Caenorhabditis elegans: one gene and its partner. The protein of the gene in region 1 interacts with the protein of each later gene in a pairwise test. Each region holds a gene or a part of one and is shown on either strand. Other genes may lie near its edges. The genes, in order: sol-1 and sol-2.

What was found.
Region 2: the proteins of sol-1 (region 1) and sol-2 interact in a protein complementation assay, tested with the Caenorhabditis elegans proteins (one study listed by BioGRID).

The regions. Positions count from the first base shown.
Region 1 is NC_003279.8:7,388,035-7,401,635, forward strand, and holds sol-1 (Suppressor of lurcher protein 1), read right to left. Parts: upstream 7,885-13,601; 5' UTR 7,850-7,884; coding exon 7,670-7,849; intron 7,589-7,669; coding exon 7,524-7,588; intron 7,442-7,523; coding exon 7,322-7,441; intron 7,244-7,321; coding exon 7,099-7,243; intron 7,046-7,098; coding exon 6,959-7,045; intron 6,475-6,958; coding exon 6,289-6,474; intron 4,230-6,288; coding exon 4,172-4,229; intron 3,659-4,171; exon of another isoform or gene 3,557-3,658; intron 2,625-3,556; coding exon 2,420-2,624; intron 2,263-2,419; coding exon 2,124-2,262; intron 1,932-2,123; coding exon 1,817-1,931; intron 1,771-1,816; coding exon 1,602-1,770; intron 1,388-1,601; coding exon 1,072-1,387; 3' UTR 1,015-1,071; downstream 1-1,014. Other genes in the region: C15A11.2 (Protein PXR1-like), read left to right, coding at 76-495, 581-682; C15A11.4 (uncharacterized protein), read right to left, coding at 10,874-10,995, 11,045-11,176, 11,238-11,345, 11,459-11,747, 11,823-11,935, 12,217-12,424, 12,495-12,622, 12,667-12,763.
Region 2 is NC_003279.8:14,717,475-14,728,348, forward strand, and holds sol-2 (CUB domain-containing protein), read right to left. Parts: upstream 7,266-10,874; 5' UTR 7,258-7,265; coding exon 7,158-7,257; intron 7,106-7,157; coding exon 6,770-7,105; intron 6,634-6,769; coding exon 6,550-6,633; intron 5,720-6,549; coding exon 5,241-5,719; intron 4,803-5,240; coding exon 4,697-4,802; intron 4,653-4,696; coding exon 4,447-4,652; 3' UTR 4,292-4,446; downstream 1-4,291. Other genes in the region: Y54E5A.8 (Conserved plasma membrane protein), read left to right, coding at 1-44, 92-205, 764-1,037, 1,414-1,511; Proteasome subunit pbs-5, read right to left, coding at 1,882-1,997, 2,199-2,533, 2,585-2,988; K05C4.2 (Protein jagunal homolog), read right to left, coding at 3,247-3,507, 3,557-3,865; K05C4.10 (uncharacterized protein), read left to right, coding at 7,822-8,165, 8,459-8,657; K05C4.9 (Protein zyg-11 homolog B), read right to left, coding at 9,404-9,773, 9,831-10,433, 10,677-10,874.

The DNA of each region.
Region 1 (13,601 bases):
GTAATTTTTTTTTTCTGCTCAACTTATATATTTTGATTTATTGTAGACTTTCGATTTATTGCAATAAGGATTGAAATGGGCAACAAAAGCAAGAATACAAAGAAAGAAGGTGCGGAGAAAAAGAGATCAAAGACGAAGACAGCCAAGAAGAAAACCTCCACTCTCACGCATTCAAAATCCGTGACATCGACGGATCCAAAAGAATATGAGAAAGAAAAACGACGTGATGATAAGGATGTTTTAAGAATGACAAAAGAAGATGTTGGGAAAGAGAGAAAGAAGGAGGCACCGAAGAAGGAACAATCGAAGGATCAATTGGTAAAGGAGCAACCAAAAGAGCAACCAAAAGAGCAACCAAAGGAGCAGCCTAAGGAGCAACCTAAGGATCAGGCGAAGGATGTAGTAAAGGATATAGCTAAACCCCCATTGAAGGAACAACCAAAAGAACAACCAAAGGAACAGCCAAAGAAGAAAGAAGAGGAAAAAACAAGCAAGGTTAAATCATATCAAATATACACTGATTTTTAACTAATGTTGAATCATTTTTCCACTTTAAAATTTCTAATATCATAATTTTCAGAACATGGAGATAAGTGGAATGGATATGGTTATGAAGGACGACGGGAAGAAGACAAAAATGGACGATGGTTACGAGGATTTCGGTCCAGGTGCAGCTCAATAAGAAATAAGATGAAATGACAAGAAGGAACAAAATAATGCTAATGAAAAAACCTTTACTTGAATAAATGTATGATCTTTTAGTTTTTGATTTTGATACAAGTCCGATTTTCCGAATTTCAGGTACTTTTTCGAGAAAAGAAAGCTTTCCTTGCCTGTTTTTGCATGCGAAATAGTTATTTTTCTAGTAAGCTGAGGAAGATGGACGTTTGCGTTTTCCCGGTTTAACCCATATTTCTAAAATCCAAAAGAGTTTTTTTCCAGAGAAAGTTAAATTCATTTTGAATTGAATTTGACTGTTTTCAATGAAAACATTAAAGTGTTCAATAAATGAACAAAGAAAACAAATTTATAAAAACTAAAAAAAAACACGAAAAAATGTATTTAAGTCAGCTAAAAAATGTTGGCAATGTATCGAAAGGTGAACAATAATATCACAAGGAAAAATGAGGAGAACGGAGTTTGGCTAGAAGATATCGTGAGCTTGACCCGACTGATTTGAGATTTCTCTTGAGTGATAAACTGATAATGTGCATAAAATCCGGTTGCATCAAAGATGTCATTCGTTGAGAAAATCATTCGAAAGTAATTGGATTCTGATAATATTGGACCTTTTGGAGCTGTTTTCCCACAAAAACGACGATTCGTTCGATCATGAGTCTGATAGTTTGAAAATAGAATATAATCACTTTGAGTTGTTTCGTCGCATCTAAAAATGATAATTAATAGCATAATTTTTGAAGTGTTGGAAATTAAGACAACAATACAGGCTTGTATTCAAAATAGATGGTTTTTTTTTTGAAAAATTGTTAAAATTTTTAATTTAATTTTTTCTCACCCTTCGTTAGGTGGTTTAACTAAAACTAATGTTTCATAAACTGGTAGGTAAATATAACATGTTTCATATAACCAAAAACACTCACTGGTTAAAACCTTCAATGTCGAAATATTCAAAATGAATATGAACAACTTGATCATTTCTTCCATGGAATATATATTCACAATATAAATTTCTCGGATACAATCCTGGATAGTTTGCAGACCAAAGTTTCCCATTTGTGTGCTCTGATGAATTGAATGAGAAGCGACATTCTGTCAATAAAAGATTTTACAGAATTAATACAAAATGTGATCAAACCTTTCTTTTTATCTACTTTTGCTTTCATATTTCCCATATTCCAGTCAGTATGAAATTTGTAATCTAATCGAAAACCAATATCATCATTTGTGCTTTCTCGAATAGCCTTTGATGACTGAAATTATGAAAATAAAAACGATCTAAATTATCAAGTTTTTTAAAAGTAGCCTTTTGTTTTTTGCTAGATAACGTTTGAAATCTTTCATAACTTGGTTGAACTTGCTCTAGAGCAGCTTCATTTTTAGAGTTCAATCTTGATAGAATCAAAAACTTTACTGGTAAAATTGCAAATTAATTCAACACTAACCTTTGTATTATATTCCAATTGTAGAAGATTTGAACTACTCATCAAATTGGGTGGAGCTCGTTTACCACACCATTCATCAATTCTTGAAAGACGTGACCCCACTCGAACATCAGCAGACAGATTATCCACTTCTGTGCAACTGAAAAAAATGAACAATTTTCCAGGGTAGATCTCGGTTTTATTTTTTTCAATTCTTTTCATAAAAAACCTTTTCTAATTTTTTTTCTGAATTAATAACTTATCTTCATGTGAAGATAAGGTGCTTTTACAATGAACTGTATATTTTCATAACTAACCGTTTGGTAACGTTCTTGTTATCCGGAACATACAAGTTAAAATGTGTAAATTTTACACTAATCTTCTCATTTGGGTATCCCTGTAGTACAATTTGACATTTCGTTGGAAGAGATGATGAAGTGAATCGTCCAATCTTATCAGATGATAGTTGACCTTCTTTGAAATTTTCCGAGTTGATGTTCAGCTGACATTCGGACGCTGTTTCTGTAGTTTGAAAAACTGTTGAGATTGTAGATATGACTGTGAAGTTCAGGAATTTATAGTTGGGTTGTGCGATAGTTTTTACTATTTGAGAAATCAAAAGTTGTACAGTGGCGGCCAAAAATTTATCAAATTTTCGATTTTTGATTAATTTACAAATTTTTCAAACGAGCACAACTTAAAAACTGGGCATGCTATCGAAAAAGTTCAACTAATGCAGTATTGTCCATAATTACGTCTACTTGTAGTCAGTTGTTTAAGTTGTTTACCAGTGTCATTACAAGAAATACAGCGGCCGACATCTCGTGAGCCCGTTTTTTGACAACTTTTACTGATTCGCCCGTATCTCGAAAACTAATTTTTCTAGAAATGTTTTTGAAGTAAAATAGTCTGCATACTGCTTGCCATCATTTGTCACTCACTTTGTTCTGAAAAATCCAGCAAAAAAAGCTATGAGAGATTAAACTTGAATAGTGTACGACCAGATCTAGAGCATTTCTCGCAAGTGATGAATGTATTCCTTGATATCGTGTTTGAATATAGCTCAATTGTGATTTTACACTTGTAATTATTAAAAAATCCTCGAAAAAATATATTCGAAGTAAGAAACCTGATTGTTGGTTGTAGAGCATGAGCAGTGCCTAGTGAGCGACTAGTTTGCACTTCCATTCAGTTTGTAAAAATGTTACTGGTTGGTTTTGCTAAATTTTAAACTCATGCTAATATTCTTATTCCAATTACCACGCTATCTATCTCAACCACTCACATTTTTTGTTATGATTTTTTCAATTTTGACCCAAATTCTTATTTTGTGTTGCGGACAAAGTTGTTGGATTCGCAAAAGAATTTATAAATTTTTAAAATTAGAAGACTTGTTTCCCTCATCTAATACTAAAAAATAAGGAAAAAATAAAAACTTGGGTCAAAGTTATTTAAAGACAACAATGTGAAAATTTTAATAATGAGATTAGGAAAAATTGAATATTCGCAGAAATCAAGCGAGTTTCTAGATTTATTCGACATTCTTTTGCGAAGTCTTGGCGTTTTTGGTAAGTTTGAATATTTTTAAGTAAGCTTCCCCTTCACCGTAACTGACATGCTACAGCTGCAAATGATTATATTCTCATAAAAGCTTTTCCATAAATAAGATCACTGTTCCAAAACGTATTTTTCTACCGCACAACCCTTGGATCAAAATACTTACCATTAACATGCTCAAGAAGTATAATGAAAATCACATGTAATATTTTTAGCATAAAAATTTGAAAAGGCCCTGGTTGAGAGTTTGGTGCCAAAAGAGGGGCTGAATAATGAGCGAACGGGGGAACGTCAAAAAGACGGAATTGATAGAAAATGAATGAATAAATGAAGAGATGGAGGAATGAAAAAGGAATGAAAAAGGATAGAATCAAGAGAAGATTCAGTAAAAAGGGAGGTATGCTTCACCCTTTTTCTCCTTCTTTAAGCTTCTCCTCCTTCCATTTTTCTGCTCCTCCTTCTCCTCCCCCTAACCCCCTTCTTTTGCTCTTCAACACAACAACTCAACTCACCCGGAGATTGGCTCCAAACCGCATTCGAGTACTGCAATTCGATTACGAAGCCAACGGCCTGCAACACACAACAACCTCCTGTTGCCTAAATTGCTTCAACACACTCACAGACACACATACACAACCGGAGACAAGAAAAAGTAGAAAAAAAAATGAAAAAAATGAGGAGGGTTTCAAGTGGTTTAAACTTTCAACAACAACTCATCATTTAGGAAATGAGATGAATTGCACAAACGATTAGTTTTTGGACTTAAGGCTAATGAAATGAAGCTTTTGATACATCTTAATTCTTTTTCGTTTTGATTAAAAAGTTTTGAATTGAAAGGTTTGTGCTCGTGTTCAACTGGGGGAAACTTTTGCTTTTTTTTCTTGAAAGTCAATGGGGGGTTTCTTTTCAAAATGATAGGCACTTTTAGGAGAATTTGGAGAATTTAACTAATCTGTAAGTTTTCATATAGTTTTGCTCCAAAAAATTTATTAAAAGTTTGAATTCATCATAGTCCAAGATATCACGAAAGCAACCAATTTTATTAAGAGAAAATGTTAAAATTCTGCCGACTTTTCTTATCAACGCCGTCAGAACCTAAGACCGGCGCCTGGCAATTGGGTTATAATGTGGTAATATTTGTAAGGAGAACTGGCACAATTCTAACATGTCTTTCAGATGAATTGGTTGATGTTATTTGGCAATAATACAATTACAAAATTAATATAATACAATTATTGCAGAATAACTGGAAGAAAATTTACAGATAAGTTCGGTTTGCCAATTTTATCGAATAATCACACACCCTACTTCCCGAATATAGATCAGACGCTTGACATTATGTCGCAAAAGGAACGCATCAGAAAATTTAAATATTTTAACTGTTTTCCATCATTCCAACCAATATTCTTTCATTGAAACCAAAAACCAGATCGACGCTGCTCAACTTTTAACTTGATTTAGGTTGATATCCTGGCAGTTCAAATAATGTCTCCTTTCAACGAAAGTAGGTTTAAATATGTCTATAAACAAACTTTCGTCTAGTGTTTAAAAAATTGAGCAGGAGTTGTTTCTTTCTCAACGATTTTTTGATAGACATGTCTACAATTAGAGCAGATGTATATATTAGGGATAAAAGGATCTTCGAAACATTTTGATAGTTCAGAGAACAAACTTCAATTAAAAATAGATTTGTTTCCCAAAACCTAAATAATATGATAAATTATACATTTTAATAACTTGCTACCTTAAATTAACACTATTTTTAAATGAAAAATGACAACACTAGACAAATTCTAATTTGTTTTTGTCCCGTTCCACGGAAACTTAAAAATTTTCTCCCAATTATTCTACTTCTGAGTCATCAGTTGTCTGATTTCTGAATCTTTGTGTTGTCCAAATTGATTTCAGATCTTTGTAAAAGTGAAGGGAAGTGTAACGTCAAGGATCCCACGTTTCCAATGTTTCTATTTTGATGTCACTACTTTATTTTGCTCTCTTTTTAATGTTTGAATCTCTGGTGGTTATGTTGTGTTCGCGTTTCATTTTGTAACGTTTTTTTTTAGATAAAATACTACATTCTGAAGTTTATTTCGGGATGAATTTGTTTTTTTCATGGCTATTGCAAAATTAGAAGAATTGATAATGGATTTGATCCTATTACCGAAAACCTATTTCATTTGGATTTACAGTGGAGCACTTTACAGCGGATAAATTTCGTTCTAAAATTTTGTCGGTTTTGTTTTTCATTATTTTCAAGGCTAGTAAAAGTACCCCAAAAGCTGTTTTACAGATTTTAGATAATTCTAACGATTTATAGTACTTACGTAGAAGGCAAAGATTCTCAATTTTATGAGTGGATCAATAGTTTTTTTCAAAAAAATTCAATCTTGCCAAAAAATTTGCATTATGTATGTTTATCCCTGTCATTCTTGAAATCACAAAAAAATTTCAGAAAATATGCTTTTGGATCTGTGACATAGGTTTCAGTTTGAAGCCAAATCCAAGGTTAACTTCAGGTACAAAGCCCCACTTTAGAAACATCAGAATGCAGAATAATTTTCCAATAACGTATACATACTTTTTTCTTTTCAAGAACGTGCGGAAAAAAGTGCAAAAAAGGAGAACGAACCCGTTCGACGTCGTTATTCCCAGCTGAGAAATAAATCAACAACGAGGAGGTCGACGAGACGTAAATTGATTTCTGGACGGATGTCACCATTTCAATGAGACGTTTTTCGAATTTTCCTTCAACAGACTCGAATATTTGTAAAATTGCATCACGGCCAATATCCATGACTATTGAATTTACAACTATCTGAAAAAAGAAAAACAAGTTAAAACGGGTAAATATATTTAATATGTATTATTCAAAAGTTAAAGTCGAAAAATACGAAGAATAGAGTTTAAAATTCGCCCCGAAATTTGCATTTTTAATGGAATTATTCCATAAATTCTCGAATTTTCGCAATAAATTTTTCATACGGAATTAATTTTGCTAATTTTCATCATCATTAACTGTATATTAACACTTTTTTTTTCTTTTTTTTGGGATGAAAAAATTCGCAAAAAATTTGGCCGTGGTGGAGAGTTGAACTCATCTGAGCCTGGGAGGATGAGGAAATCCTAAGTCATCGGTGACTGCGACAAAAATGTTTGTTTGTTTTTTTCTGGACCCTTTTTTTTCCTTTTTTTTGGGACGAAAAAATTTGCAAAAAAATTTTCCCGTGGTGGAGAGTTGAACGAATATATGTATTAACATGAAATTCTTCCCAACCACTACTTTTCAAAACAGAAAATACCTGAAATCCTTTTCTTTGAGGTATATGGTAAGTGCAATTGACTTTTGATGGATAATAATATGGATAATCCGGTGAATATATTATTGCCTGAAAGTTAGTATTTAAAAAAATTTCTCCGAACTTAAATCATATCTTTATACCTTTTGCTTTTCAACTCTATAACTGCACTCTGCCATTTCCACCGCATCGCTTGTAAAGTTTTTTTTAGGAATTGCTAAAAACGATCCCCGAAATCCACGCGATGACTCTTTTCCACTCGAAATTTGCAGTAGAAAGTGCTGGTCCCTGAAGCGAATTACTTGACGCTTTCCATACTTTCTCAATGGCTTTTTTGGAGGGCATTGAGAAAAAAATCGAGCTTACTTTGAAAAGAATTGACGTCCCGAAGAGATTTCTTTTCCACAAAACTCAAAGTCAGCTCGTTCTCCAAACTCGATAAGTCCATCGGTTGAATGGTCGAAAAGCATAATTGAAGATGAACAACTGCAACAAAAGAATGAAATTGTTAGACCGGAAACTCTATTGTATTCAAGACATTCTTCAAAAAATAAGGTTTTAAACTTACACTCCAATTCGTGGCGGTAACTGGAATACATCGAAAGTCAATCGAATTATATGGTCCGGTGGTGCCTGAAATTATTGATAATCGGGGTTGGCGGCAATTTTATTATATCTTCTTTTATACTAAACAAATTCAAATTAAAACAAAACCTGAAAGTGATAAAAAAGGCAGGGGACACCTTCCAAAGGGGCCGGAAACTCCGGAGAATGAAAATTCCCGCTTGTCACATTAAATAGCACACATTTGCATTCATGTTCCGATGCATGAGAAAAATATCCAAAAAGGATCGGAATCAGAAGAAGCACAAGATCTTCGGCTCGACGACACATTCTGACGGAGACATCATCATCTCATCATCCAAAACCTGCAAAGTTTGACTAATTTCGTTTGAAGAATGTCCGGAAATTGGTAAAATGAGAGAATAGGGAAACGATGGGTGAGGGTGGATTAAGAACAAACAGACATAAAGATAATGAAGAGTAAATGGAGAACATCTAATTGGAGGAACTATAGAAAATTAGAATTGGGATATTGGGTGTCAAACATTGGAACGAAAATGTAGAAGCCACCTATATCATGAAAACTGAGAATGCTCTGATATTGTGAAAATAATAATCGATAATTTTTCGAAAATTGTATCAAACTCGCAAATTGTGTTACAACTACTAGCCGCGAAACTAGTGAAAAAATTGACTGTAAGAATAACAGGTTGAAGTTTCATGATTTGAATTTCGTCACTGAAGTATCTGTGATAATGTACTTGTTTAATTATTTAGAAGAAGCACTATTCTATTTACATGTATCAAACAGTAATACTTACATATTTTAAAAATCTAATAAAAGACCAAAAATCCATATTCCAGCAAAACTGATCCCCAAATTTTTCCCTCTTTCTCAAAAATGTACTCTTGTATAAAAATGAATCAAATAAAAATTTTAGTATCGCCAATAAAAATAACACTCTCAGCACTTACTGAACAGATTTAAAGATATTTGAGACGTAGTAGAAAAACAAAAAGAAGATATTTTCAAAACGAACGTATATATCAATGTTTTTGTGATTGAGAAGACAGGCTCTCAGCTGTGTACTAGAGACGTCAGGAGTATTTGACAAATCTGTCAGAACATCAATGGACCACTCAAATGTGTCAATGTCCGCAGTTTGAAATTGGGGAAACGGATATCCTATATTTATATTTTCAGCAATAAGAAACCTTTAGAAGTTTTTAAGAGATTAAATATAGAAAACAACGAGAACAGGCACAGTAGTTTAATTGAAATTTTTATTTATTTTTAATTTTCAAATTGGCCAGCAATCTGTGTATAAAAACAATTTTTGCTCTAAACATCTGACAAATTTTGATATATAAATTTCAGCGACAGCTACTATATAACAACGGAAATAAAAACCCATTGATCAGATGTTGCAAGTACACGAAGAAAGGATGAAGAGAACAAGGATTAGTAGGTTTAGCAGAAACATATGAAAATGAAGGAAACAGAAACAAAAAGAGCCGTCGCTGTGTCCATATTTTTTGAAAAAGTAGTCATAACAAAAGGCAAAAAGATGTGAGAAAGTGATATAGTGTTGGGACGATGGGCACAGGAAAAACAAGGTCTTCAACTTCAAAATGAAGACAAACGAGTATGAAACGGGAGATGAAAAGTATTGAAGCCACTGGATGCATGTGTCTTTGGTTTCAATGAAAAAAGTTCAACTACGAAAATACTGTCATATTATGTTCGGGTTTAGTTTGAATGGTATTCATTTATAAATACTGACTGTTGGAAAATAGGGAAAAATCCAGTGAAACAAAAATTCAGTTTCGAGACGGAGCTCCGTAGGGTTTTTTTAAAAAGCAAACGCCTTTGGGCAAATGAATATGAAAAACAAGGTTTTCAACATCCAAATTAAGAAGCAGAAAATGTTGAAAAATAAGAAAACGATTGTAAAAAAGAAGTGCTAAAAATGACGGCCATGTGGTTTGTGTATGTGACAATGCTCCAAGTTGCTCCAGGGTCCTCCCACTTTTCGCGACGCATACGTCCCACCCCCTCGAAGAACTTTTTTCTTTTTTCTCGTATGTGCCAAAGAAGGCTTTAATGGGTGTCTTGAGAACTTGGTGAAATAGTTCTGAAGATGAAGAGGATCAGTCAAAAGGAGGACCACTGTTCGAAATGCGCGAAACTTGTCAAGTGAAAAGTGTGCCTCTAACAATGAATTAGTACACTTTCCTCTTTGTTTTCAAGAACATCAAATCACCACGTGGAGAATTCAAGTTTAAGCCTGGCAGCTTTGCTGTCAGTTTGTTACATCTGGTTTTAAAAAAGATCCATGAAATGGTTACTTTTCCTTTACTAATATTATTTTTCTTTAATAACTAGAAACATTATTAGGAAAATTTTCTGGAACATTGTTAGTTTGGAAAATATTAGTTATACCGAAATGTTGTAGATTTTGTTCTGAAATTCACAAAGTTCGTTATGATACTTACAAATACAAAAAAAAATCTTTTTTGACCAAACAAATTTTAAAATATTTTATTTTAACGTTTTTAATTTAAATTTTTATCAACTTGTTACCTAATCCGTTGGAAAGTTCGAATAAACTTCAAAATTGAATGGAGTTGCTCAATCAAAAACTTTCAAAATTTTTATTTTCTGAAACGAAACTGCAACCAAACAGCAATCTTCCCCACTATACATAATATTTGAGATTGGAAACGGAACAATTTAATATAATATTTGAAGATTCTTTCCAGTGGAGAATCAAATCTGGAGGCTCCCGATGTGAAATTAGTTTAGTGTTAAAAAAGGAGGAGAAGATTGTTGAATAGGATCATGACGATGTTGTCAACACCCGGAAAAAGAAAAAAAGAAAAGAAGAAGAAGTCGAAAAAAGGAGGAAGAGTTATGATGTAGTACTCATATGGATTTACTACAAGTGAAAGTGAAAAACAAATCCATTGAAGTGGGCACTTTAAGCGGATAAAGTACGTGGGAAAACAGGGCGTGAAACAAACAAATCTTTTAAAAATGTAGAAAGACTTTTTGAGATTCGTTTTTGAAGGAAAAGTTAGAGAAATGGAAAAATCAACATTCTTTTCTGAAAGTGACTGCATCAGAAAATTGAACATACCTTAAAATGAAGATAATTTGTTCTTGTTCAATTTTATTTGTTCAAAAACAGTATGCAAATCCTCACAGACACTATTATTTTTGTTAAAACTTCAAAATAAGGTTTTGAGGAACACATAACAGCTATTTAAAACAAGGAAAAGTTTCATAGAATTTTCTTCCAATAAATAAATAAATAAACACCAAGGAAAATATCACAAGAATAACTAATTAATTCACGCAACCATCTCAAAGTTCTCCTGTTTTTCTTCACTATTTTCTTCCAATCTTCTCATCAAAATTTCACCAGACTTGGCAATGAGTGCAAAAAAACCGAAACCGCATAGAATTATTGTAACTGAAATATCCTGGTTTTCTCGGAAAAAATTTGAGAAGGGAAAACGTACCTGCTGCGGAAATCAGTCCCCACGAGGGATTTGTGAGCAGAAAACCAATTAAAGATGCCAATTCTAACACATAAATGAGCCCCGCAATGACTTGTCGATGGAGATGAGATCCAAGAAATGAACCAATTGGTGCTAAATTATGAACAATGTAAAAGTGGTGTAAAACATCAGAATTCGAGGGAATTTCATTTACCCATTGTTGCCACTACTGGTATTGTTACAGCAAAATAATTCCATGCAGTTTCCGATATGTCTCCCATCATAACCCCACGATACCAGAACCCAAACACAGAGACGATTCCTTAAAGTTGTACAGTTTTTTATTGTACTTTTGTGTCAAGTATACTCCAAATAAGTTTTGATAGAAAAGGCTAAAGGAATACTTAGTTCTAGGAGTTACAAACATTCTCTCACCTTTCAAAATCATAGTTGTGGGTGTAGCTGTTTTTTCGCTGACTCGAAATAATAGGGTCACAATTGAAAACATACAAATATCAATTCCACTTCCAGCAAATGCGTCAAAGACTCCTCCAACAATACCTGTTAAGAACAGAAGAAGACCTTTCCAGAAACAAAATTCTGGAATTTTGACAAATGTCGGCCTCTTTTTTTGAGCATTCAGTAGTCCGAGAGCAAAAGCAAATGCGGTCCATATTGATACGAACATCATTTTCTTCTGTGCTCCAGTGAAGAGAGGGTCAAACTGCAATGGAGTGACTGTTAGGGCAAAAAAACAGAGAGGATAATACGGAGAGGATAATTTTATGAACAAACTTACAACATGAACTCCAAAAATGAAACCCGGGATAGCACCAAGTACTCCAAAAATCACAGCCATTGATTCGTACTGAACCTTCATAAAAATCACGCAAACAAGTGAAGACATCATTCCTGAGAAAAATAATTGTATCGAGTTTGTTCTCATAATTTGCATAAGTTTTGCTCAGTCATGTTATTTTTAGTTGTAGAAATTCTAGAAAACTTACTTTTCTATGTTTGAGCAGGTGTTACATTTTAAAAATGTGTTCAGAAACATAAAACAGAAATTCGTAACAATTTTTACAGTAAACTCATTCGATGAATATGCATATTTCCTAATAAATACCGGTCCAGAAACGAAAAATCAATATTCTCACAATGCTGCAAAGCGACTCATTCCATTCCAGCCTTACCAATAGATTGTCCCATAAGAGAGAAATCTCTTGCAATTGAAGGTGCTAAATGTAGAATCAATGTCATAACCGGAAATGCAACAGCTCCAGCTCCTTCAGCAGTCATTCCAGCTACTAATGCACCCAAAATCATAGTAACTGGCATGTGCCAATAATCATTGTAGAGGTGGAAAAAGTTGTAACGGATTGCCGTGCTCCACCACAAAACCTGCAAATGAAAATAATATATTAAAAACACGAACCTTATGCAGCAATTAAAAACTACTAAAAATACCAACATGTACAAAGCAGAACGGTATCAAAACTGCTACAAATTTTCGGTATTTAATAAAAACGAAATCAGAAACTGTTGGATTTTCAGGAAAGTTTTGAACTTTTTCTGCATGTTTCTCATCTAGCTGCTGGCCTGGAAATCGGAAAATTATTTATATTTTCAGAAAAAAGAACAACCTTCTAGTAGATATTTCTTGCACCATTTTAGTATTTTAGAATTTGATTCCGTGGATGATTCTGTTTTTTCATCAGGGGTGGAAATGTTTTCCGACATTCTGGAATTAAGATTCGGAGAAATTTGTATCACAGTGAATATTAGATTTTCTTACCTTTGGTTGTGGAGATAATAAATACAGGTGAAGAAATTTCAGAATACGAGAAAAAAACAAAAAATAAAAGCTTTATAGAATTAAGATAACAAATGAAACGGGTTCCTGTTTATTATAAAGCTGCATTAGCAACCAATTGGGGAATGAAATAGACGACAGTCTAGGTTGGAAGAAGACAAGAATAATTGTCATCATTTATAATATATTCTTTTAGACTTTTGAACACATCGATCAGAACAACAAAACACAAATAAACTGTCTCTAAAAAAGCCCTTTTGTAATAATATCATGACATTCGTCATAATTTCTTCCTTTTCTTCGAACAACATAGTTGCAAATTGTAATCATGCAACAAGTTGAGTTATTTTCAACTATTTTGAAATCTGAACTTTTGAACGATTCAAATTTTATCAATATTTATTAATTGCAGTGACGCAGAAATGAAAATGCCAAAGCCAATCATCAAATAAAATGTCACAGCTCGAAATCTTCTTTTTTCAGTTACCGGAAGGATTGCCAAAATTGTTCTTCTTCAAAATTAGGATTTCTGCGAAACTTCCGCAATGTGATACATTTTACAATTGAACTTGAACTTGAAAGAAAATTGAATTGACCAGTCAATCTTAAAAATGACTTGCGTCTCTTCGGGAACGTATAATATTTTTTAATGAACATCGCCACAAAGAAGTCAACAGATTACAGCAAACTTCTCTGGAACCCATTCTCTTCTTGTCCTTTTTTCGAAACTTTACACTGTGAACCTAATCTGAACAGTTCAAGTGA
Region 2 (10,874 bases), 7.3 Mb from region 1:
AAATTATTCAGAGTATGGGAAAAGACGCCGATCCTAGGCTTAAAGTTTGTCTCTTTCATATTTTTTAAATCGAAAACTATTATTTTTACAGGAAAAAATAAATAACAAAGAATTCTACTGGAAAGCCGTCGAACCAGGTGGCTCACGTGTCATTTCTGCTTCACTTCCACCACCGCCTACGCAGAAGAAAGAGCAAACGTCTACGGTGAGAATTTGCGCGTCAAATCTAGTGTTTTCGGTTATTTTTCCTTTGTGGACACAATACACCACATTTGACGCCAAATTTTTAAAGATAATTTTGCAGTTTAAAAATTTGTTGGTACCTTCAAAATGAACCAAGAGATATCCCCTGTCAAAATTTTGCACATGGTGCATCGACTCTGAAAAAGCCAGCTTCCGTAAAATTCCAATTCCCGCTGAAAAATGAGATATTTTTTGAATTTCAAATAATTTTCCAATTTCTGTTATTATGCAAATTTCAAGGTAGATGAAAAGATTCGATTGTGGTGGGACCCGACAATTCTATTATTTATCATTGGAGCGCGGTTACAGAGTTTTTAACTTTTTTAAAAATTTTGCCGATTATCGGTTTGTACGACGAAAATATTCTAACAAAATGAAAAAAAAAAAAAATATTCGTGACTATGGTAGCTTAAATGTTTATATCAATTTAGATAACGGCAGGACCCAACACCAACAATTTATATTTCTTTTAACATTAGAGCGCGCATGCTGACCACTTACCAATTTTCGATTTTTCCAGCCAAGTTCCTATTCCTTCAAGCCATCTGATTTCCCGTGGATTCTTGTCGGATTACTCTTCTGCATTGGAATTTTCATGGGCGTCATGCTTACCGCTTGTTACCATTTTATAAATAATATGCAAAAGGAGCCACAATTCGATCGTTCCAGTGCCATTATATATAATAAAGCTGGCGATAGTGTGGGCTCCGAGAGCCGCCGTCCGATGCTTCCCAGGCGGAGAGAGCAGCAAATTGAGCTTATAGAACGGGCATCTGTGGCACCTTCTATGTCCTGTAAGTTTTTAAAAAAATATTATATTTTTTTCACAAACAAGAAAAATGAAGTTTGCGCGTCAAATCTGATGCATTTTGTGTGTCTTTGCGTACTTTCCGATTGAGGACTCAAAACATCATATTTGGCGCGCAACCTTTGTGTTTGATCTACGGAAAACTTAGTTTTGGCAAATTTCGAACTACCCATTGACTTTCTCAGCCAAAACTGTACAATCCAAAGCTGTCGAAAAAATTAGAGAAAGTTGCAAAATATTCCTGGGTACGGTAGCTAAAATATTTAGATCCTACTGATACCCATTACTCTTAAAATCGCACTTTTTCTCAATTTTAATGGAAAAAAACAATTCAAATAATAGCACAATTAAACTATTTCCAGCTGGAACACGAATAGGCCCTGCGTGGCGGAACACTAATGGGACTCCAGCTGTTATAATCACCACGTCATCAACACCCAGCCGACACATATCGCTTTAACTTGATTTTCACATTCGAAAATTGCAATAAACTTTTGAGTGTAACTCCATCTCAGTATCCCTCTAGAACTACTTGATATTAATGTTCCAAAAATCCAATTTGTGCCATGTGATTGAGAGTTTCTTCCAGCCACCCCTGTTGTCGAGGGAAATTCTAAATTCTAAGCCTAAATTCGGGATTTCGAACTTGAAAACTTTAGAACTTAATGTACAGAGAGTATTTAGCAAAAGAAGAATAAATTAATTGGAAACGAAAAATAGAAATAAATGACATTTTAAAGACGGGTGTGTATGTAAAAAAAATCGGGATCGGATCAGACATCAAATACATGTAAGAAGAATAAAATTAATTTCAGCGTAGGGAAATTGAATCACTCGACTGGGTTGTAGGTGATATCTCTGCCGAGCTCATCGGCAAACTCGTACCACAGCTTGCTCACGTCCATTGGTGGAAGACGAATCTTTTCGGTTGGCGTGATGTGGCACACTGAAATTTGGAGGATGAAAAATAGAAGCGATTAGATTAAAGGTGGCCGGAGATTTCACAAAATGAACCAATTTTTTCATTTATCCGAAGAATTTTTTCGAATAAAAATCGTCTAAAATTTAAATTTTAGACAAAATAAAAGCCATTTTTAGTGAAAAATGGTCCATTTTGTGGAATAGCCGAGCAAAAAGCTTCACGTACAATTGCAGACGCCTCCGGATCCAGAATCCCGATAAGTGGCGTGCATGATCGCACGCAGGCCGAGCTTTCTGGCCTCGTCGTCCGTCATCTTTGGCTTGTAGTGATTATCGAGGATACCGTAGGCATTCAGAGATCCTGAGCCAACTGAGCACACTTTAAGCTGGCAACGATCTCCTTCCGAGTCGACTTTGAAGATTTGTGGTCCCTTCTTATCGTATCCGGCCACCATCGATCCAACTGACAATCCTTGTCCTCTGTATCCATAGAGCGTATTTGCAAAGTACTTGCTCGCGGCGCTCACGGTGATTGAGGTCTTCTCGCGGAGCTCGTACAAACTGAAAATAAATAATTATTTTTGTTTTGAAGCTGAAAATATTGAAACTCACGTGCAGTACTTGGCGACAATTCGGGTCCAGAACTGACAGTCAGCAGCTCCTCCAGCCATCGTGGCAACCATACGATCTCCGATGTCCAAGATCTTCATGACCGACTTGGATGAGATGTATTCACCACTGGAGGCTCGTGAATCGACAGCCACAATGATTCCTCCCTTGTCAGCTGGAGTTGCTGGCTCGTAGACGAACGCCAATGTGGTGGTTCCTTTGCGGAATTGCATGGATTTTCCGGCGGTCTCGGCGAAGTGAGTCTTCATGAAATCGACGGGCTGGATTCCCAACGGAAGCTTCGCGAAAGTGAAATCAGCTCGAGCCGGCTCGGCGATCAGGTTCTGCTTGGCCATTGCCATCTCTCCTTCGTCATTCTCGAAATCGTCGAATGTCTCGCCCCACATCTTTGGAGTTCGATTCTGAAAATTGATTTAACAAAATGAAACAAATGCAATCAATATTGAAACAGAAAAGTATCAACGGAACTGTAGAACAGTAACCGGTAATTAGAAAAAGTAAGAAAATAAATAAAAGATATGGAATTATTAATTTGGCAATAGAGACTAGCAGGAATTTGAATAAAAATACTATTAACAAGGAAAAGGTACACAACTCAACAAATGGGGGAAAATTGAAAAATAATATCACAAAACGGAGAAAATTTAATCTCGCTTGACTGGAGCCCATGCGGCGGCAAGGTGATGCATGAAGTACATGGAGAATCCGTGAATCTGGAGTGCGACCGCGAAGAAGATGTACCATATGATGACCATCGGGAAGATTCCTTTGAATGTCGGTGTGTTGCTTCCCTCCATGTCTTGAGCATACTCCATCAGCTCTGGAAGTTGTCCTCCAAGCCCGATCATGCATGGGAAGATTCCGACGACGAACTCGGCATAGTAGGCGTAGTGGAGGATCTTGAGCTGAAATAAGAAGTTATATTTGTGGCAAATTGATCAATAAATAAATTACTTTGTTTCGTTGGAACGAATAGATGGCGAGGACGATCGGAATGAATGAGAAGCACCACACATACTCCCATGGGTAGGCTGACGGCATGTCCAGTCGATCGAAGAACGCGTTTTTCCATCCGAAATTTGTTCGGAGGAGTTCGCTGCCAACCTTGAGCCACATGAAGACCAGGATCAAGAAGTGTGGAACGAAGAACCACTTGAGGATCGACTTGTATTGAGCGCTCTCCTGGTAGTGCTGTGCGACCCTCTGCCGATTTTGGAAGTCCGTCCCATCGGTACCCGCCGCTCGAACTCCTCGTGATGACATTCCCGCTTGAAGTGAGCTGAAATAAAGATATAATTGAGTTTCAAGTGATTAAAAAGAGAAATTAAGAAGAAACAGCGAAGAATAACATCTGAGCTGAAAGTATAAATTTCACAGGTCCCAATATCGACCAACTCTACACATTCATCAGTATTTCCATAGAAAGAATGAGAAAACTCGTTAAAAAAGCGAAAACCTGCGAAAGATATAGAAAATTTTGTTTTAGTTAGTTTTAGTGATGACAAAAGATGACAAAAAGACGAGTCTCCGCCCCTTTGCAATGCGCGCGCGCGGTTTTCGCAATATCGCCGCACGGAGTTGCCGTTATTTTTCTTTTACTTTCCCGCTGATAAAGAATTAATATTTCCATAATTCTTTCTATTCTGCCAGGCAAAACACTTGAAAATTGTCGAAAGTAAATAATTTATATGTTTGAATAATGTTTATTAAAGTTTCAAATTAAAAATAAAAGAAAAAAGCTCCGTTACATTAACTGAAAAGCAATTTTAAATTATAAAATTGTGAAAAATTCGATAAATTTGTCGAGCGAATCGCGAAAACATTCACAATTCGCTCTCTAATAGTCACCGGTTCGGCTGTATCCGTGTTGTAATCGAATTATTATTCATATTTTTACATTTCCCATTCTCCGACGCGGCTCTTCGTTCCCGAATCATCACCCGAAGCCGTCGCCGCTTCCTGAACTGATCACAGCACACCAAGACGAGCATCGTGAGCACAATCAACGAGAATCCGAGTGCCGCCGATGTTATTATCTCTCGGGAGTAACCTGGAAATTTTTAGATCTTGGATTTTACTGGAAAATGAGCTTACAGTGTTGCTCGTCGGAGAAATCTCCTTCAACACAATTATGGATTCCGTCACAAACGAGAGAGCTGTGAATGCAGAGACGGGACCGTGAAGCGCAAATTCCATGACCCTGAAGTAGAAAAAAGTAATTGAAAATACATGGATTTCAGCATTGTGGCAATTCAATTTGTTAAATATCAAAAATACAAATCACGAAAAGGCTAATTAATTTTTCTTACAAAACAAAATTTATTCTAAATAGGTTCTGTTCAACTTTAGAATTTCTCCTTTTTTTTCGAATATTCAGACTGTCGAATTTATGTTTTCTCCCGTTCAAAAATCAATTTTCCAGCTCGAAACTAGCAAATGTCGTGAAATGGGATGTTTTTGGGTACTGTAGTTCCGTTTGCGTACTTTAGTGACTACACTAACCCAAAATTTTGGATTAAATAAAAAGTTTTGTAATTAAACAACTCTTTTTTTTTGAATTTATGATTCAAGTTAATTTCTAAAAAATAACAAGGAACTACATATAGATTCATTGAAAACATTCTGATTTTTCACAAACCTGTTCAACACAAACTTGTCCCCCATGGCACATAAATTGATCCTTACAAGAATTTCCATTAACACTCTCATCACCTTCTCCAATCAGACCCTCCACTGCAGTCCATACAACTTTAAATCCAATCCTCTCTTCCCCAATCATTGAAGACGGTGGTCCTTCCTGTGTAATAAATCGTACAACAATTCGATTTGCACTTGATAAATAGCTTTTCATTCCCTCTTCTGCATAATACAGCTGACTTCCACAGAATTTTGCTTCAGACGTCTCTGACGTGGATTCCTTTCGATCAATTCCATATTTTTCATGTTTATATCCATCGATTATTGTTAGTGATGCTCGTTCACATTCTGCAATAGTGGGGGCCAAGTGTAAATGAACTATTCGAATGTAGATTCGTTGTCGGGCTTCTACACGGATCAACCAATTACACGTGGAATTCTTCGGATATGTGGTTGGATAGCCTGGTGACAGTATTTCACCTGAATATTATAATTGTATAATGTAGAAGTTTCAGATTTTAAGTTTTTTGAATTTCTTATGGTGTGTCCATAGTCTGCGGAAAACGGGAATTTCCCGCGTGCGGAAGCGTCCATAGTCTGCGGAAAAAAGAAGGAGTTTCTCGCTTTGTTATTGGTCAATTTCAAAATAGTGGGCGTGTCCAACAAATTAGAGGTTGTAAAATTTTAAGCTGAGCAATGGGAAAGCGAAAAAAGACCACGCCTACTTTTTTGAATTTTGAGGAAAAAAAAGCGAGGAAACTACGGTTTTTCCGCAGACTATGGACGCTTCCGCACGCGGGAAATTCCCGTTTTCCGCAGACTATGGACGCACCATTACAGAAATAGTTTTATAGATTTTGAAATTTTGAAATTTCAAAAAAAAAAATCACCTGGTGTCCGAGTATTTTCATTCCACGGCCACGTAGTAAGGTAACAGTTTTTGCAACGTAGCCTAGAAAGAAACAAACCTCGGCCACCAATTAAAGCACTTTTCCTCTTCAAAATTTTTCGAAACATGAAGGTGTCGTGGCCGCGAGCAAGGGTGTCAATTCCCGTTTGTCCCGTTGTCCCGTTTTTGGGGTGTTTTCACGGGAACGGGAATTCCCGCTGTCCCGTTTTTGTCATTTTTACGGGAACGGGACGTCTTTTGTCCCGTTTTTGAGCGTTTTCACGGGAACGGGAATTCCCGTTGTCCCGTTTTTGTAATTTTTACGGGACACTGACACCCTTGGCCGCGAGAATAGGAAACTTGGTCCCCAACTTTTCACGCAGCCATGTGGCAAAAATTTACAAATTTCTTAAAACCTCACCAGAAAGTTGTCCAGGAGTGGAATGTCCACCACAACCACTGAACATTGATTCTCCGAGGGTTGAAGATGGCTCCTGGATTGCTGCTGGAAATGGTATTTTTAAAGGGAAAATTTGCTAGAACTTCGCAAGAAGCATGGGAAATTGAAAAGAAACAAGATAGAAAAGTTGTCTACAAAGAACTGGTTGAAAAAAATTATACTAGTTTCCAGCTCTACCTACCCTCCGAAAGAATCCTGTACTGAATCCTAAACCCTCGATGCTTCTGATTAGTTGAAGTAGTGACGAATTGAACTTGCATCCATGATTGCATAGTATTAATAGACAGTGGAACCTGATTCCCACATAACCTCTCACCAACATGTTGTCTACCATGTCTATCAACTACAACAACCAGAAGATAACTATCCAGGCATTGATCACTTAATTGATTTTTTGATGCTAGATCAAATGAGACAAATGATAATTGGATCACATTCGATGCAGCTGTTGTTATGTTGAATATACAGTCAAGAGGTGCAGAGAATGCCGATGGATATCCCGGAGATTCAATGAATCCTGCAATTGCACCATTTTTTTTTAATGTTCTATGGAAACTTCCAGAGCTCACCTGTAGTGGGTGTAGACGAATGAATATGCTTTATGGGACAATATGAGCATGTGATCAGTGTGATGACGTTGATAATGATGAATAACAGATATTCAATCATTTTACCATCTGAAAAAATAGAAAAATTTGGTATGAATAATAATCCCCACAGAAAAATTAGAAATAAATTAGTTTTTGTTTTTTCCAGAAATTTCAAGTTTTCTATTGTTCTTTGGACAGAAAAGATAATTTTTTGAAGGAAACAAATTTTGAAAAGAAAGTAGAGATTGTCCAATTTTTTTTTGGTTTTTTGGAAGAGCCACGTGGCCGCGTGAAAATTGGTGGCCGAGTTTTCACAATTTCACGGCCAGTGTATCAGGTAGGTCAAGGTTTTAAATTTTCTGAAACACCAAAAAGAAAAGATCAAATGAGATACAAGTCACGTGGCCGCGAACATATAAAGTTCGGCCACTGAAAAAAAATGCTCGGCCATCAATATTTTGTGGCAAAATTATACTCTAAAAAATATTTTTTAAAAATCGGGAATTGCATTGAAAAAAGTTCAAAATAGACCTAAGCCTAAGCCTAAACCTAGGTCTAAGCCTAACAGAAAGCCTAGCTAAACCTATATTTGGCTTAAAAGACTAGAAAATGTAGAAAAAAAAAATGCAGAAGAGAAAAAAAAATGGAAATTGAAATAAAAAATCGATGTATCTTCTTCTCCTTTTTCTACTACATCTTCTTTGTCCACTTATCCATTTTTGGAGGGACCTTCAGAAGGAAAAGAGTGTGCTCTTCTTCAGCTGCTCCATCTGAATACACTCGCCCGAAAATTGAGAGAGGAAAAGGACGAGAAGATGGAATTGCTTCTTCGCCTTCATTTTGGTGGGTGCTCTTCATTTTAACGGAAAACGAAGAGAGAGAGAGCAGAATGGGGCAGGGAAATTTGGCAGAAAAATACATTAGTCTACGAGAAAATGAACGTCTTCTTTTTTTGGATTTGGAAAAAAAAACATTCGGTGAAAAAATGTAGGTTTTTCATAAGTCTGAGGGGAAACCAAGAAGTGGGGGGTAGCTCAAAAATTTCAAGTTTTCTTATAAAACAATCTTCACTCAATTTGAAAAGAAACTGGAAATTTTGAACCAGGAAATGGGTGGAGTTTTGCAAGCTCCGCCCATATCTTGGTTTATCCTTCTTACAACTAAAGTTTGAAATTATCCTAACTGAAATTTTTCTACAGTTGCGATTCTTTCGTTTTCAACTGCTAGAATAAAAAACTTCAAAAAAAATTTACAGCCTTTAAATATTCTTCAATTTGCAGAAAGCTTTCCATAGAAAGTAGTATCCTTTGCAGCTCCGAGCATGTGCTCCAATTGCTCCTAATTGGTAGTCTCATCTTCTTCAGTCGGTCCTCCGTCCACTTATTCACTTTAAGAGAAGCTTCTGCTGCTGCTGCTGCCAATCTAATTATTTGTTCCCTTTTCTCTACTCTGGGAGAGAAGTTTCCGAAAAAGTTATGAAATTTATATTTCCTAGTAACAATTGAATAACAACGAGAAACAATTAACTGTAAATTAACTAATTTTTTTAAATTTATATATGTCAATACGATTTTATAATCGGGTCATAAAAAAAGAATGCAAAACATGATACACATAAGAATGAAGGAAAACAATTGAATAATTGAATATAAAATTGAATGTTTAGGGTCTCTAGTTGTTATGCTTTTTCATATCGGCACCATGCTCCTTCCCTAATAGCCCGTAATATTTCCAATAAACCGCCCGTAAGTTAGTAAAGAAGACTTTTAAAACTCTACGATTCCTTTCTAAATCTTCTCCAATCGCACATAAGTGACACTGGTATCAGGATCAGGGCTGTACGGCTGGAAAGTCGGCTGATAGAGCAAATGTAAAGATTACAGTGTGTTCAGGATCAAGATGCTTAATGGAATTTCAGGATTGAAACTCCTAATAGTTTTAAAATAGAACAACGTGAAAACTTTGAAAACATAAATTTAGGCGATAACAAGTTTCAGTGCTATTTACAAGCGCACATATTTTTGTTTTTGACAAAAAACTTGTCGTGTCGAGCCTGGTTATCCTTTTTTAGTTTGTATACCATATATGGGTAATAGAAATAATGGAGTTGGCTCGAAAATCGATAGAAATTTAATTTTGAAAATTTATTTGAAATTGGTAATGAAAGGGTTTAATTGTTTGATTTCTCGGGTATAGAAGCCGGAACTTTGTTTGATTTTCTAATACTATTTAAGAATTAGTAAGATTCGTTCTTTAGCGACTTTCACCAGTTTCGACTTTATTTTGATATTGATTATCAAGTTGAGTATATTGAATTTTTCCACAATTCTTCTGCCGTCATCGTGTTGCTCTAAGAACTTTTCTATTTTAAAAAGAGCCCAAAGGATAGGCCCATCAAATTGTGTTGACGCAAATAAGCTATGGAAAATTGGCAAATCGATATCTACAATTTCACTTGTTTCCAGTCGATGATAATTGTTTCTCAACAGTCGATTCACATAATTTCGAAAACCTCGCCGTGTTTGATTCAAAAGAATCGAAAAGATTGAGTGCAGAAGGTAAAGCCTGTCTGACTTCCATTTGTTGAATGTTTTTCTGAAATTATGATAAATTTAAGGGGAATGTCTAATAGTGTGTAAATGCTTAACTCACTTCAAGTACTTAACATTAAACTCTATGAAATTCTCGAAACTTGCATTCGCACAAACCACCAATCTTTTCAATATGCGAAGAATTTCAAGTTGTAAAGGTTCATTGTCAAACTTGTTGATGGCATTGAATAAATCTTTGGCTCCCTTATTTTCAACTATATGAAGACAAGTCTGTGGATCATCCATAATTGGACAGAAAATTATGTCAATGATGGATTGGCATAACGGAGTATAATATGGAGTAAATTTCATACACAAATGTAGGTTCCTAATAAGGATTTTGGAGTCTTTTATAGTTCCCTCTTTCGAAACCTTGAATTTATCGCGTTTCCTGGGAAAACAATACACTAAAACTTGTAATATGGGAACAGCGATGTCAAATGTATCAAAAACTTCTGCCAAACAGCAAACTGCCGCATCACAAACATCGTCGTAGTTTATGATGGATAAGTCGAGGGTGACTAAGGTCTGTATCGCACTCCAAATTGAATTTCTGAGGTATTGTGTAAAATTTGAGCCAAGGTGATCAAAATTGTGGATGAAATTAAGCAGAACACGGAGCGCCGTCACTGCACATACCGGACGTAGTCTTTGAGCATTGTTTCTGTATGATAGACATTAAAAACACATTTGCTTGAAACTTATACATTTTGAATTTTGAAATTTTCTGATTACCCTATTTTTCAGATCGTTTTTAGCTTTCAGGCTAGTTTTCTGAGTTGTGGTAATTAACAGATATCAAAACAACGTTAGAATGTCTCCGGTGCCTCAAAAATCTATTGCTTTAAAGTTTGGCATCTCATTTTTTGTTCCTTATAGTAAGCAAAATAGAATGTGTAAAACATACGATACAATTTCCGTCACGCAGAGTATTCCGCTTGCATAAGTTGTGATATATGAGGGGTTAAAAGAAAGAAATTCTCTGGTTTTCTGAACATGGGTGACAAATTGTTCCATGGTTCGGATAAGAATTGCTAAACACCCGGCAATATCATACTCCTTGTTTTGTGTGTAATATTCTTTCAACAGAAAGAAAATATCCTGG